Linked DNA regions of Saccharomyces cerevisiae S288C. The protein of the gene in region 1 interacts with the protein of each later gene in a pairwise test. Each region holds a gene or a part of one and is shown on either strand. Other genes may lie near its edges.

The links. The genes of interacting proteins can lie anywhere in the genome.
Region 2: the proteins of IMH1 (region 1) and SMY1 interact in a two-hybrid assay, tested with the Saccharomyces cerevisiae proteins (2 studies listed by BioGRID, with this or other methods).

What each region holds. Positions count from the first base shown.
Region 1 is NC_001144.5:746,558-755,799, forward strand, and holds IMH1 (Imh1p), read right to left. Parts: upstream 5,213-9,242; coding exon 2,477-5,212; downstream 1-2,476. Other genes in the region: DPA10 (Dpa10p), read right to left, coding at 291-554; chitin deacetylase CDA2, read left to right, coding at 1,380-2,318; Ras family guanine nucleotide exchange factor CDC25, read right to left, coding at 5,667-9,242. UniProt on the Saccharomyces cerevisiae protein: Involved in vesicular transport between an endosomal compartment and the Golgi apparatus.
Region 2 is NC_001143.9:284,925-291,249, reverse strand, and holds SMY1 (Smy1p), read right to left. Parts: upstream 4,648-6,325; coding exon 2,677-4,647; downstream 1-2,676. Other genes in the region: DHR2 (RNA helicase), read right to left, coding at 198-2,405; VMA5 (H(+)-transporting V1 sector ATPase subunit C), read right to left, coding at 5,042-6,220. UniProt on the Saccharomyces cerevisiae protein: Possible microtubule-based motor that can interact or substitute with myosin 2 (MYO2).

The sequences.
Region 1 (9,242 bases):
TATATATCTTTGATCTCTTATTTAATTATTCAACTCGCAAAAATAAAAAGAATATTTTGTTATTTCAAAAGTAAAAAAGTATGTATTAGAATAGAGGACATATATAAAAATCATATATATCGATGCTTGAATGTATAAGGAAAAGCGTCAAATTATGAACGGTAGGTACTTAGGATGCTGATGTCACATAAAGTCAGAGGGTATAACTTTAAAAAGTAATTTTTTAGAATCTTTTAGCGTCAAAACGTTACACGTACATTTGAACAGTGTTAAGAGTAGATTAATTCAAATTATACTTTTACGTGCTCCGATACAGTCTCTACCTCTTCGTTGTCAGTGCAAATAACAATTGGCTTATCATGAACTGTTCTTGGAGATGGAGAATATCCTTTCAGACTCGTAATATTGATGACGGTAGTTATTCTGCGACATTGAGTAGTACTAGCATCCCTTATAACCGGAATAGTTGTTGATGTAGGTGAACTTTTTGGGACATAACACTTGGCAGTTGTTTGCAAATTTTTTGTGATCATTGATATGTTTCTTAGTGACATTTTTGATGCTATTGTTTTTATAGTGTAATTGCTATGAGTTTATTTTGTTGACAAGTATACTTGGCTGTCTTTTTTATATAATAACGAAAATGTGTAGTGGAAAAGCAGGTGTGTTTTGTCTTATATCTTACAAACTATATAGGCTTATATAGTTTTTTTTCAAAGATTCTTATTACTGCACAAAAAAAAATAAGATCCCAAATTGAACATTAACATTAGTCATATTCAGGGATGGCTCATCACGAACAGCAAACTGAATAATTTTCTTGTCTGCGTTCCTTTTTTTGTGCACCAATGGATGTAGTATGCGCACCTGATGCGCATAATAGATTGCAATTACACTGACTACAACTTACGTATATGCGTTTTTATTACTTTTCTATTGCAACGGCCTAAAGGAATTCGATAAAAGAAAGAGTAGGCAAGATAAGCCTGAATTTGGCTTTCGGCTGTTATTTTTACTTCCGCTAAATTTTCTTTGTTCTTCCATTGTTTTTTTGCCTTTGTGTTCTCCATTAATCCATCCAATTTTAATGTCGGATTAATGGAACTTTCTATTAACCCATAAATGCCACATAGTACGGCTGTAGCAGTGAAGGTTACAAAAGGACGGGTAACACATGAGAAACATGCGTCAGGGAACAAACTAGATATTTGATTTTGTGACGCAACGCAAAAATTACTGGCTATTCTTTTGTAGTATTATCAAAATCCATTTAAAATATTCTCTCTCCTTCAGTAATCCTCTATTATTTATCAAAAACCCACAGTGGGTAAACAAACTGCAAAAGAGTTGTTATTATTTCTACGGATCGGCAATTGAAAATGAGAATACAACTAAATACAATTGATTTGCAATGTATTATTGCACTTTCCTGTCTGGGGCAATTTGTTCACGCGGAAGCTAATAGGGAAGATTTAAAGCAGATAGACTTTCAATTTCCTGTATTGGAAAGGGCAGCTACAAAAACGCCTTTTCCGGATTGGCTTAGTGCATTTACCGGGTTAAAAGAATGGCCTGGGTTAGATCCACCTTATATACCTTTAGATTTCATTGATTTCAGTCAAATTCCAGATTATAAGGAATATGATCAAAACCATTGCGACAGTGTTCCAAGGGACTCGTGCTCTTTCGATTGCCATCACTGCACCGAACACGATGATGTGTACACATGTTCCAAACTTTCCCAGACATTTGACGATGGTCCTTCTGCTTCCACTACTAAATTATTGGACCGGTTGAAGCATAATTCCACCTTCTTCAATTTAGGTGTCAATATAGTTCAACATCCAGATATCTATCAAAGAATGCAAAAGGAGGGACACTTAATCGGCTCACATACCTGGTCTCACGTATATTTGCCAAATGTATCGAATGAAAAAATTATAGCTCAAATTGAATGGTCCATCTGGGCGATGAATGCTACTGGCAACCATACCCCCAAATGGTTCAGACCTCCATATGGCGGAATAGATAATAGAGTAAGAGCAATAACAAGGCAATTTGGCTTACAAGCCGTCTTATGGGATCACGATACTTTTGATTGGAGCCTCCTTCTCAATGATTCTGTCATAACTGAACAAGAAATTCTTCAAAATGTAATAAACTGGAACAAGTCAGGAACCGGATTAATATTAGAACACGATTCAACGGAAAAAACTGTCGATCTTGCCATTAAAATAAATAAGTTGATAGGTGATGATCAATCAACAGTTTCTCATTGTGTCGGCGGAATTGATTACATAAAAGAATTCTTGTCCTAATTTTCAGGGAATTGAAGAAAATAAGGAAGAATTAAATTACAATTTAAAAAGAAATTGCTTTAGTATTTTATATATAGACATGCAGCAACTTCTTGATATATTTCAGGAAGAAAAAAACTGTTTCAATATATACGTATCTTCTGCTTTCAGCTACATTTTTACTTCAGAGACATAACCAGTCTTTTTTCATCAGTACTGTCCAGTTGTAACAACATAGAAATTACAGGAAGTAATTGGTTCCGTTGTTCCTTGTGCTCCAAAAATCCCAACAAAACATTTTTTATATATGCAATTTTTTCATTTTTCTCAGAGTCTAACTCCAATGAACTTGATGATCGTATCTTCTCTAATTTAGTTGGATTAGAGTTATTCGCTGGTGAGGAATCAATATTCGCGTTAGCTAGAGTACCGATAGAACCAGACCTACTAACTCTTCCTGACTTGTCACTGTATTGTCTTTCCTTTAAAGCATTCAATTGAGAGGACAATGAACGATAATTTTTTAGTAATCGATCAAATTTCTTGTTAAGTTCGTTATTTAAATTCAGAAGTTTCTCATTGGCAGACTGTAGCTCAAAATTCTTTTCATCAGCCTTAGACAATGAGAGTTTTAAATTAGATGTGATCTGTTCCAACTGATCGGAATCATCTGAAGTGGCTTGAGTCTTCCTTTTGATGTCATTGTTAACATGTTTCAATGCGTCAACCTCTGATTTTAGTCCCTCTTCACGAAGCTTTAAAGCGTGTATTTCCGATTTCAGCTCAGTTACTGTATGCTTCCACTCTTGTAATTCAGTGGCCTTTCTGGATGTTTGTAAGTCTAATTCTGCTTCCAATTTATTCTTTTCATCCGTTAAATAGGCCAATTTATTCTCCAACTCTTTTTGTTTGCTCGAATCATCTGTCTGACTGTCCGAAACTAACCTTCTCAATGTGTTAGCTTCTCTGGTTTTGTCTTGAACAATATTAGCATATTCATTTAGTTCATCTTCTAAAGATAAAATTTTTTTTGTAGATTCCTTCAACTTGACATTTAGTTCCTCACATTGTCTTTTGATAGAATCTATGTGTTCATTCGAATTACTTTTTACATTTTGCAAGGTATTGTATTTTTCTTGCAAAATATTCAATCTTTCCGATAATTTACCATTTTCTTTCAAATACTCCTCGTAGGAATTAGAATTCTTTGCGATATCATTATGCAGTGTCTCATTTTCCTTTTTTAATAAGTCTAATCTGTTAGAAATTTTAGCATGATCTTTTCTCAGCTGTTCTGTGGATTTTTCAGCCACGTCCTTTTGCTCACTAAATTGTTTAACTTGTTCCTCCAAGTAACTCACAGTTTTTTCCTTTTGTTTATAAGAGGTTCTTAAAGAAGTAAGCTCCTTTGTTATGTTTGATTTTTCGTAGGTAAGTTGAGATATCTCCTCATTTAATTTGGCTACCTTGTTCTGCGATGTAGTCTGCTCTTTCTCCTTTTCTGTACATAAATTCTTCAGATGCTCTACTTTCTTGCTCAATAACTCTATCTTACTTCTCAACTCAGTATTTTTAGCTTCGTAGGCCTCGATCATCGTTGCATTTTTATGGCGTAAATCATCGAGCTCCAGCTTAACGGTTTTCACTTCTTCATTTTGTTTACTCGAAGACTCTTTAATCTCATCTTTTGCGTCCACAAGCTCATTGCCTACAGTCCTCAGCATATCTCTCACCTCCTCTAGCTCCGAATTTTTTTCTTTCAATGACTTCTTGGTATCGATCAACTCGGTGTTAAGGGTTTCCAGCTCCTTTGCTGATTTTTCGAGCTGTGAGTTTTCCAATTCTTTAGCATCTTTTAGTTCTGCTTCTATATCTTCATACTTTTGCTTCCAATCTTCACAATCTTTATATTTTTCTTGTAATTCTTGCAAATTTTCTTTAAGCTTATCATATTCTTCAGTATTGATTGAGTTATCGACCGTTTCCTCTTCACTGATATCACCCGTAGTTATGCCTCCCTTATTTTTCTTTCCCTTGTTTCTATTCTTTTTCCTTCTGTTATTGTTTCCTACATTTTGATGAGATATCGCCTTCGGTAACTCCTTCATTTTTTTTTCCAATTCACTCAGCTTGCGCTCTTTCTCTTTTAAAGTAATATTTAGTTCTGCCAACTCTGAGGACTTTTCCTCCATTATAGTACTTTTCGAAGACAAATTTTGCTCCAATTCGGTTATCTTCATTCGACTGTCCTCGAGAGAATGGTTCTTTATAGCCAATTCTTCCTTCAGTTCGGATATAGATACTTCTTCTTTCTGTTTTTTGGCCTCCCTTTCTTCCTTTAGTATATTTTCCAGTGCAACTATTTTTTCTCTCAAACCTGAAACAGTATCATTTTTTTCTTTTTGTACAGTATCCAATTCTATGTTTAAAGCTTCCATTTTTTTTTTTAGATCGTCTATGTCATTTTTATAATTTTGCTCTTTTTTCAAAAATTCCTCTTCTTTATCCTTCAGAGTTTCACTAGAGGCGCTTTCTGGAATTTCCGAGTTCTGCTTAGTTAATCTCTTGATCTCATCATTCAATAGGTTATTTTTGTTGTTTAAATCCTGGAAAAAAGCTGGCAACGTATCCACTGCGTCGTCAATATTAGATATGGGTGTATTTTCCGCTAAAATCTTTTCAACAGCCTCTAACTTCTCTGACTTTAATTTTTCATTTTTGTATGCGGAGAGTAGCAAAGGGTATTTTTGTTCATATTTCTCAAATTTTCTTAATTTAGCTTGTATTTCTTTTGGCAAGCCACTCTTATCATCTTCGATTTGTTGTTCTGACGGGGTAGGGCTCATATCATCGGCTAAGCCCTTCGCTAATTCATCGGTAAGATTCTTACCAATTTGTGACAGCTGTTTGAACATTGAATCAGCAAATGTTTCCCTAAGTTAAAATCACCTCAAATGTAACTCCTGTTGCTTACTATTTGACGTTTCTGCTACATTTGGTTCTCTTATATTGCTGGATCTGAAAATCCGAACTATGAGAATGCGGGTAATAGCTTTTCATAGAATCACTAATTGATATTTTTTCAGGTAATAAGTTTCCTCTAATCGGGCATTTAAAATCTTGGATCGATAACTTAACTGGGTGTAATAAAATATATAAAGATATAAAATAGATATATATATATAAAACGAACTTTATCAAGAAGAACTGCAAATGAAGCGTACTCTCAAATCCTCGAAAACGAAAAACACTCCACCAGTACAGTATTATCACGAAGAATATTAAGTAAAAGCAGCCATCTTAAATAATAGAGTGTAGCAATCAAACATAAAGCTAAGGTTCTTCTTGATTAGCAAATTGTATAAACTTTTATCGAAATAACCTAGAAGGAGGTTTTTTCTTACCTAGCTTCAAAAAATTGCCATTTTTATCATCTGTAAATTCACTTAGGAATTTTGCAGTTTTTGTACCGCTAGCAGAAGAAGCATGCGTACTGCCTTTGGTGTTTCCTGATCTCGGTTCCACTTGCAGTGATAATTGATACTGCTTTTCAATGTGGGGGACATTTTCCAAAGACGCTTCTATAACGGTCTGAATATCATCCAATCGTTTCAGCTTGTAATGGAATCTTTTAAAGCTTATAATTTCCTCCACTATATTTGCGATTTTAGTCCTCTTGCTGAAGTTTATTATGTTGGTTGAATTGTGAAGAAAATCTGGGTTTCCGACAAACGTAAATGTTAAATCAGATAGGTATACACCAAAAAAGGGAACACATGCAACGTCCGTCACGGATCGCAACAGCTCTCTATACTTCACAAAATTTCTCTTGGAATCCATAAGGTTGTTTAGGTTCTTCAGAAGGTCCTTCGACTCAGTGGAAACTAAATCCCATGTCTTTTTCAGTCGGTAGATTGGGGAGGAATACAAAGCGGACACTATGGCAGTCATTGAAGAAAAATTATTCAACTCTTTACAATGCTGGGCAACGGTAACAAAATATTGCGTTAATTTTGAACGTGTCTTGACATCTGCCTGTTTTACAATGGTATGAGAAACAAAATTAGTTAGCGTATTAGCATTAGCTATAAATTTCGTAATGTTCGGAGAACCACCCATATTACAATACTTGGTACCCCATGCCCTATCCAAGCATTCAAACATAGTGATCCTGAGGTATAAGTCATGTTCAAGTACAGTCAATTGTGTGGCATATGTGTATGGGTCAATATCCAAGAGCTTCAATTTCTTCAATCTAAAAAACGCTGAAGAAGCAGAAGATGGTAAAGAAGACGAAGACATGTGTATCGGTGATTTATTGTCACGTTTAGTTGTCTGTACGACTGCCGATACCGAATCTTGTTGCTTAGGATCCACTGGTTCTTTCTCATTCTCATTTATCAGTTTTTCATTTATCTTTTGCAAAAGATCCTCTGCCCCCGGTATTTTCTCCGATACAACCATCTTGGCAAAATTTAGAATCAGTGGTATGCCAGGTTCATAATAATTTCTTGTCCAATACTGCGTCAAAAATGTTCTCATAATGTTGACCACACGGCATTTAATCGGGTTTGACTTTTTTTCTATCCAAATATTGTAATCATCGTAACTCAGCCCTTCAGGAGGATACAAGTTGTACCTGTAAATCAGGGCATAAAAAAACTCTCTTGTGGTTAATATACTTCTGAAAGTTATTAACATTGTAACATTGAAAGCCGCATCAACAAGTTCATGACTGGTTAAATGTTCAATCAGTGCCTCTTTTGTCCCGCCACGAATTTTTCCTCTTGAGTCATAGACAAGACTAGTTTCATAATCTGAAGTTAAAAACCATGGAAGGTTTTTCTCTATGTTCGCAGCTTTGCGTTCAATATAGTCCTCAGATCCTAATTCGTCATCGATGATAGCTTCATCATTTTCTGAATCGTCATCACTATAGTCCTCGGAATAAATATCAAACCATTTTTCTTGCTCACCTTTCAATAGTTCTGCAGTCAAATTATTCTTCATCATTCTTGCTGCGTAGTTCAGCAAATTTTCTCTTTCTTCAATCAATTGATCAACAATAATACACGCAAGATTAGAAATCTCGACATACTTTTCACAAGCATCTTTAAAATCGTCGGAGTTGTTTAAAAATTCAAGGTTATTGAACTCCACATCTTGACTCACCAATACGTGAAATAAGGAGAGTGCCAATTGTTCATTTTTTTTATGGAAGGGGCCCTTGACCAAAGGTGTATTAGAGATATTCTTGAAAGGTTCATGATGTCCGACAGGGAAATTGGACCTCATTGAGGAAAACAAATACGGGTCGTCTAAGGTCGTTTGTTGCGTTGTCATTATTAATCTGATGACGATGTCATGAAAAGCCTGCTTTATATCAAAAAACTCTGTTAGTACTGAGGAGACCGAAGACATGGCGTGAACTAAAAATTCCTCGCTTTCCAAATCCAACAAAATACTGGGTGTCTTAATCAGGTTTTTCAAATTGATGAAAATTGACAGATCTAAATTCTCCAGTATCTCCAATAGTAAAACATTCTGATTTATTTGTTCGTATGTGCTTGAATTTATTTCCAAATTCCTAATTCTGCTTTTGGGTTTACTTATAATTTTTAAGTGTTCACCTGTAGCATTATTTAATTTTTCAAAAATTTGCGAGGATTTCTTCTTCATTGTATTCAAAGTGTCTACAGTTAATGGATATTTTTTCTTCCTTTTTGAAACTCTTGCTCTTGAAAAGGTTCTGTTATGAGAAGGACGGTTGAAAGGTGTAAAAACTGAACCAGACGCGGCACTGCTTGCTTTTAAATCAATTTGGGAATTTGTTTCTGAATTAGCGCTATATCCTGACGCAGAGGCAATAGCATCTGCCATCTTTGGTGGAATCCTTGATATTGAGGAATTTTTGGACGACGAAGCGGTCACTTCATTAGATGTGACAGCTTTGTTCTTTGTCGCATTACCAAATTCATCCGTAATAAAAGTCGAAAATGGATTTGTCCAAGAACCACCGCTAAATGAACCTTTAAAAAATCTTGGGAGCAACTGTGGTAAAGTATTATCATCTGAGAAGACTGAGCTCTGTAACACAAAATAAAGTAACTGAACATGCCTTAAAAATTTCGAGAATTCCACATCAACCATTTCGTAAATCGATTTAGCTGACTTAAAATTTTTGTTGGACGGTGAAAAATCTTCCAAAGTAGAATTTTGTATTGAAGTCCTTGGTGTTACGACAGAATTAACACTATTTCTTGGACCTAAGACTGAGAAATTTTCCATATCGTTCTCATTGACTGTACTGAATGATGATCTCATTGGAGTCAATGTATCCGTTGTACTGGTACTTACATTACGTTTACCGGACAATGGAACTGAAACTAGATCATGTACACTATCTACTTCAATTTTACCATCATCCCCTTCCGTCCTAGAACAATTATTTTCCTGATTATCGTTATCCTTGTCATTCATAGTATCCATTTTTTTTCTGTGAAAAGCTGAATCGAAATATAAATGAGAATTGATACTTATCCTTGACAATGAAGAGATTAGACCTTTGAAAATCTTCTTAATCTCCTTGCTGCAACTTTTGGCTTTAATTTCATGTTGCATTAGCCTGCAGCCTAACTGTGTGAAGACTATTGAATCTGATATCAAATCAAAGTATTTCGTGAAATTGAGACGATTCTCTTTAAGGAACATCTTGTGAGCCGTTTTAGTATAATAAACTGTTAGGTCTTGTAATTCTGTCCACAATTTTATATCTCTTGAATAGTGATAAAAGATGTCACTCTTGGCCAGTATAGAAGAGCGACTTGGGGCAACTACCCTTGATTGAATATTCTGCGTTAAATCTGGAGCAGATAAAGAATTTAATGATGAAGGACCAGCCTCATTGAATTCGTTTTTGTTATTTTCGTTATTATTATCATCATC
Region 2 (6,325 bases), on another chromosome or scaffold:
ATAATTTCACAAAAAAAGCCAACGAACAATTCGAAAGGCGTTTAACATGAATATACATATATACCTGTGTATATTCATAAGATATTGAGAAATGAATCCATGAAACTCATACTGCAGTAGTTGTTACGATTTATAATGCTCTATAAATTACATTAAATGCCTTTATATACAATAAAAATGCGCTAAGAGTAGGTGACTTATTTTGAATCAGAAACTTTTTGCTTTGCTACAGCGGCTGCATTAGTGACAACTTCTTGTAACCATGAAAGTTCAATCCTACTAACATTTCTGGCATATCCCTTCGTAGTAAAGACATACTCCGTGTACATTATACCGGGGCAGCTTTTATTCATAAATAGCATAGATGATGGATGAATGCTTATCGGCTCTCCAGTGGAAACAGTTCTATAAGACCTGTCTGGCATCCCTATAGCTGTATTCTTGATAAACCCAGTTAAGAAACACTTTAAAATTTTCGAAATTAGCTCGCCATCTTCACCAATCTTTTTGGATTCTTCATCCTCTTCACTGATTGAAGAAAACAAACGCTTACAATAAACTCTTAACTGGTCTCTGACACGAATTACATTTTTAAACCCACGTATCGAAATACACAATCCTTTACACCAATCATTTCTTTCAGAGCTTGCATCTTGACTTTTCCCTAGTTCGTAGAAATAGATATCAAAAAGCTCTTTCAGCATGATAAGGTCACCATACCTTTTACCAGCGTTGCATAAGGACAAACGACGCTCGTTCACCTCATCTCTTTCTTCTGGTGACGGATTCAACAGTAAATTTTCCACACTAAGGCAAGAGACGATATCAATGACCTGACTCAAACATCCGACTTCACTGGCTTTAATTAAGACACTACTTAAATGCGGTTGTAGCGGTAACAGAGCCATTTGTTGACCCCGTTTAGTTATCTTTCCACGAGTGTCAAGAGCACCCAATTCATAAAGTTCCTGAAGCCCCATTACTATAGCTTCCTTTCCAGGGTTCTCAAACCAGGTCCAGTTTAGCAGGTCATCAACACCATATCTCTTCAACATTAACACAGGAGATGTGACGTCACTTCTGGCTATTTCAGGTTCACTTTGTTTAGGTAATTTCACATAATCAGACTCACAATAAAGCCTGAAACTCTTTCCTTCACTTTCTCTACCAGCACGACCACTTCTCTGCATCGCACTTGCCTGAGAAATGGGTACGGTAAGTAGAGTGGCTAATCCCAGCTGATGTCTCCAAACTTTGACTTTTCGAAGACCAGAATCAACGACAAATTTAACACCGGATATGGTAACAGATGTTTCTGCAATATTGGTACTAAAGACGACTTTTCTCTTGAAACCCTTTATCGGAGCGAAGACCAAGGACTGTTGGACCGCGGGAAGAGCTGCATATAAAGGATAAGGAACTATTAATGGTACTGGGGCCTCATCTGAAACATACTTTGCAATTTTCTCCATTATAGTCACTGCTTTGTCAATCTCTTCTTGGCCCGGTAAAAAACATAAGATATCTCCCAGTTCTTCACCTTGGTTTATTTGTATACAACACCTGATGACAGCGTCTACTATATCATCTGTTGGCGCCTTCAAGTAGTATTGTTTGACATCAAATTTTCTTCCTTCTACAAATAAGATTGGGGCATTATTGAAGAACTCACTAAATTTTTCGGCTTGCAATGTTGCAGACATAACAATTATTCTCAAATCAGGTCTTGGCCCTTGTATCAAGGATTTTAAGAACCCCAATATCAAATCTGTAAGCACAGTTCTTTCATGCGCTTCATCGATAACGATGACGCTGTATTCTCTAAGGTCACTATTCATCATAAGTTCTCTAAGTAACATACCGTCAGTCAGATACTTAAGTCTTGTTCTTGTAGTAGTCGTATTGTCAAATCTGACAGAATAACCTACTTGTTCACCCAGTTTGCAACCATGTTCTTGAGCAACACGTGTAGCCAAATTGATGGCCGCAACACGACGGGGTTGAGTTACAGCAATCGACCCATGCTTCTTCGTATCATATAATTTTTCTAATACGAATTGCGGAATTTGTGTTGATTTACCAGAACCTGTTTCACCAATAAGGACGGTAACGGGATTGCTTTCAATATATGACATTATTTCTCGCTTGTGTTGGTAAACGGGAAGTGTTTCTCTCATTTTGAGTAAATCGCTTGCCCGACTTTTCAAAGATTTATAAGTAAGGACATTTTCCTTGTTCGAACGTTGGTCTGAAACATGGTCGCCCTCGCCTGAATCATTAAACTTTACGATTTTACTAGCTCTTTTAATCCGAGTGTTATTCGTGAATGGATGTATATTCCTCCTAACCTTTTGTTTTTTAGAAGTATGGTTTGATGCAACTCTACTATTGCTATTTGCTGCCATGATAATGTCTGCAGACTCTTGCAACCTCTTCTTGAGGAATTCTTACATATATATCATAACCTCATCTCATCTCATCGAGCAGAATTTTTTATTTTCAATTTTTCTCATTTTTCCAAATCATTGTAAACGAATAGCCGCCGAAGAAAAACGGTAGAAGAAAAGTACATCTTTCAGTCAGCATTATACGTACAAATTATTAGCGTTATCATCATGATTATAATTACAAAGATACTACACAGTTGTATCGTACAATTATCGAACTTAATTATAGTCAGCTTCCAGAAGAGGGACTTTTTGGAGTACTCGAAGTGACTTTTATCGAATGGAGGTTTAATCCCTTCTTGAACGGTCTTGCCACAAAAGACTCCTGTGATCCAGTGGTTGCTATACTGCTAGAAGAAACCTTTCTCGCGCCCCATACTAAAGGTTTTGAGGAAGTATTGGCTGACCAAGGGCTATTTGATATTTCAGAACCCTCCTCGATATGCAACATAGTATTTCCTGATGACGAGCTCATAGACCCTCTTCTAGGAGATGGGATTGCAGATTTATTAAGAGAAAGCTCTTTGACAGAACTTTCCAAAGATTTTATCCTTTCACTGCGTGTTTCAGTAAGTTTAGTGTGAGTTTCTAGTTCACCCTTTAAGATGGCGTTAGTAGTTAAAAGCTCTTGAATCTCTCTTTCCTGAAGCTGAATTTGTTCTAGTAGCCTAACGTTCATAGACTCTAAGGCTTCCTCTTTTGACTTTTTGTATTCTAACTCTTGCTGCAACTTAGAATTGGAATTCATCTGTCGATCAAAAGATAACTCAAGCTGAGCAATCTGTTCGCATCTTTTCGTTAATATTTCAGAAACTTCTTCGTCAATACGATTGTTAGGATCTTCATTGGTAGAACTACTCAATAATTGGGTAATACTGTCTAATTGAAGCTTTAGTTTGATATTTTCTTTCTTTGTATTTTCTAACATTTTTTTCTCGTCGTCTTCGGGAAGAGATTTATTGTGAAGGCTTTTTAAAGAGTCTATTTCAGCCTTTAGTATATTAATTTGGGCAACATAATTATCATCCTTAATTTTCATGTCCTGAATAAATAGATCCATTTTTTTTTTCAGATTTAAACCTGTGGTGTTATCTGTAACCTTGTTATTGATCTGTCTAATACTGTCACCAAATTCTAGTGTTGATAGGGTAGTTGGAACATTACTTAAGAAACATGTCAATATCACCTTTGTTTTCCTATTTCCCCCAAGGGAATCTTTTAACACTTCAGTTAATTGCGATTCACGGTAAGCAGAACTATGTGATCCTTTTGCGCTGTAGGCTGAATCACGCTCTTTCATTGACAAGGACCGCACAGTGTTTTTCAACGCCTCAATAGATTGGTTTAATTTTTTTAACGCATCTTGTGATAGCGTACTTTCAGTTCTTTTATCGAACTTCTCTGCCCCGTGTAAATCAACCAGATATAAAGAACTATTTTTTAATATATCATCTTTTCTATTCCTTTGTTCTACGTGTAATTGAAAAACTAGGTGTGATCTTGATCTCTCTGTCTTGTCGCCACATGCCATCCTATTGCCGACGTTTTGGACTGCCTGAATGTAGCTTCTTAAGTCTTCATACGATCCGACATGTGCCGGACAAATATCTTTGATTTCTAAGTCCATTTTGCTTGAAGAACGGTGAAGCTTTAATGGTTTTCTTTCAGGTAAAGGTACCAATAAGTCATACGTTTTCTCCATATATATTTCGAATGCCAAAACACTTACGCTAAAACTATCTCCCTTTGTTTCTTCATTTTTTTCTAGCGTATCAAACAAGGTCTTGCATATGTTCGGTAGAATTCCTTCGCTTTCTTTTGATCCAATAAGGGAATAGGACTTTCCGCTGAAACTTGGTCCATATGTTATTACAGTACCGTTATAACCATTCAAAACATCATTTATTATTGGATGCACCAGAAATTTCTGAACATCTTCTTGAGTGGCGTTAGCATCGAATACCTTATCGAATTGAAATGTTGAATGGGTCTCCTTGGTTGTCTCATGTAACGGATTGTTTGTGCGAAATAGCACAGTATTTTCATATGGGTCTATTTTGAAGGTCGACTCATTGTTTTGTAATCCTTTTTCGGGTATCGCCCTGAGGATAACTTCGATGTGACAGGGTTCACTGCTGTCTAGAGTTGGTAACGATACAGAAGAGCTACTTTGCTCTTTCGAAATTATATTCCAGTGCATTTTAACAAGTTTGCACCTACCCTGAATGATAATTTTTTCTGGTTTAAAGTCGACCTGTAGTGCTTAATAAACCCCCTACTAGTGCTAAATCCTGTAGATTTCCGTGCCAATTTTTCTATTTTTATTTTTCTTTTTTTGATTTTTTTTTTTTTTTAATTTCCATTTTTTTAACTTCCACCTCTTTCCTTGTTAACCATAAATAAGGAAGGATTGGAACTCAACGACAAAATTGAAAAATGTCTAATCGTTCATCAAAAGCATATTTTATCGGATTATGTTCCATTACTATTCAAACATTCACAATCACAGTGTATTATCTCTATGAATAAAAAAGTTGAAAATTCTAAAAAAAAAACAGAAATATATATTAATCTAAGTTAGTATTATAAATCGATTATAAATTGATTATATACATCACAAATGGTTCATACTCTGTGTCGACAAGAGAAGCATATTGGTGAAGAGAAGTATCTTGCTTGTTAATTTTCCCTTTTTTATCCTTCATGAAGGCATTGCCACCAAGAAATCCAAAAGCATCAATTAATTCAGACTTGCATTTAGAGAGATTCTTTGGTGGGACAGCTATAATCTTGATGTTAAAGTGAGGTGGCAACCCGTAACGCAAAACAGATTCCACGTAAACTCTCAAGGCCTTGATGTGGAACCAATTTATAAAAACATCGACATAAGCTGTCTTGGCCAATCTTACCAACTGGACGCGCAAAGATTGTTCTAAACTGGCAGCAGAGTCATGCTCTTTTTTCAACTGGTCAATTAATTCCTCCGAGTAGTTAAATTCACGAGGAATGAATTTCTTCTCTCTAGCAGCTGTTGTGAATTCTTGAACGTTTTTCTTGAACAAATGAACATTGAACAAAACATACTCAGCATCCTCTGCAATCACGCTGGCAGATGCTGGTACAACGTTCTTGGATAAAGTTTCGTACGATTTTTCGAAATCGGATTTTAAACTTTTGGGAACTGCTACTAGAACAGTAGTTAAATGTTCAGAATTAAGAACGAAGTCTTCGGGCTTGACAATATCATGCAAGGATCTGACAGAAAGGTCACCCGTCTTCTTTCTCTCAGCAGCAGCCAAGTTAGTTTTAGCGCTGTTGTAATTTGCATAAGTAGCTCTGACGTCGGCGTCTAATTGAGAAGATTCATTAGAAATCAATGTTATCAAATCTTTGATAGACTTATCTAACTTGAACTTTCTGGTTTGCCATTGAAAATTTTCCAAGTATTCAGGAACTGGCATATTATTGATAGGTAAAGTCCTGTAAGCATTGGTGCTGGTCTCGTTGAGGCCTTGAAGAATTTCAATGATTTTGCCAATAGAAGCCCCAATTTGGTTATCTACTTTAGACAGTTCTTCCGATTCAACTATCAATGTGTCTAAAGAGCCAATTTTGAATTCGGGAATTTTGAAATCAGAAACAAATGCCCTACCCCCGATTAAGGTCTCATTGAACCATGAATCAGTTTTGGAGCCAGGGGCGGTAACAGGTTGAGCATTTTGAGGCAACGAGATTAATATGAAATCGTTTGCAGTATATAACGCAGTAGCCATTTTTTTTTTTCAGAAAAAAGAATTGATCTAGAATTAGGTAAGAAAACAAACTCTAGCAACTGCAACTTCTATATACCTCCTTTGTTTGTGTTTCTAAAGCACTGT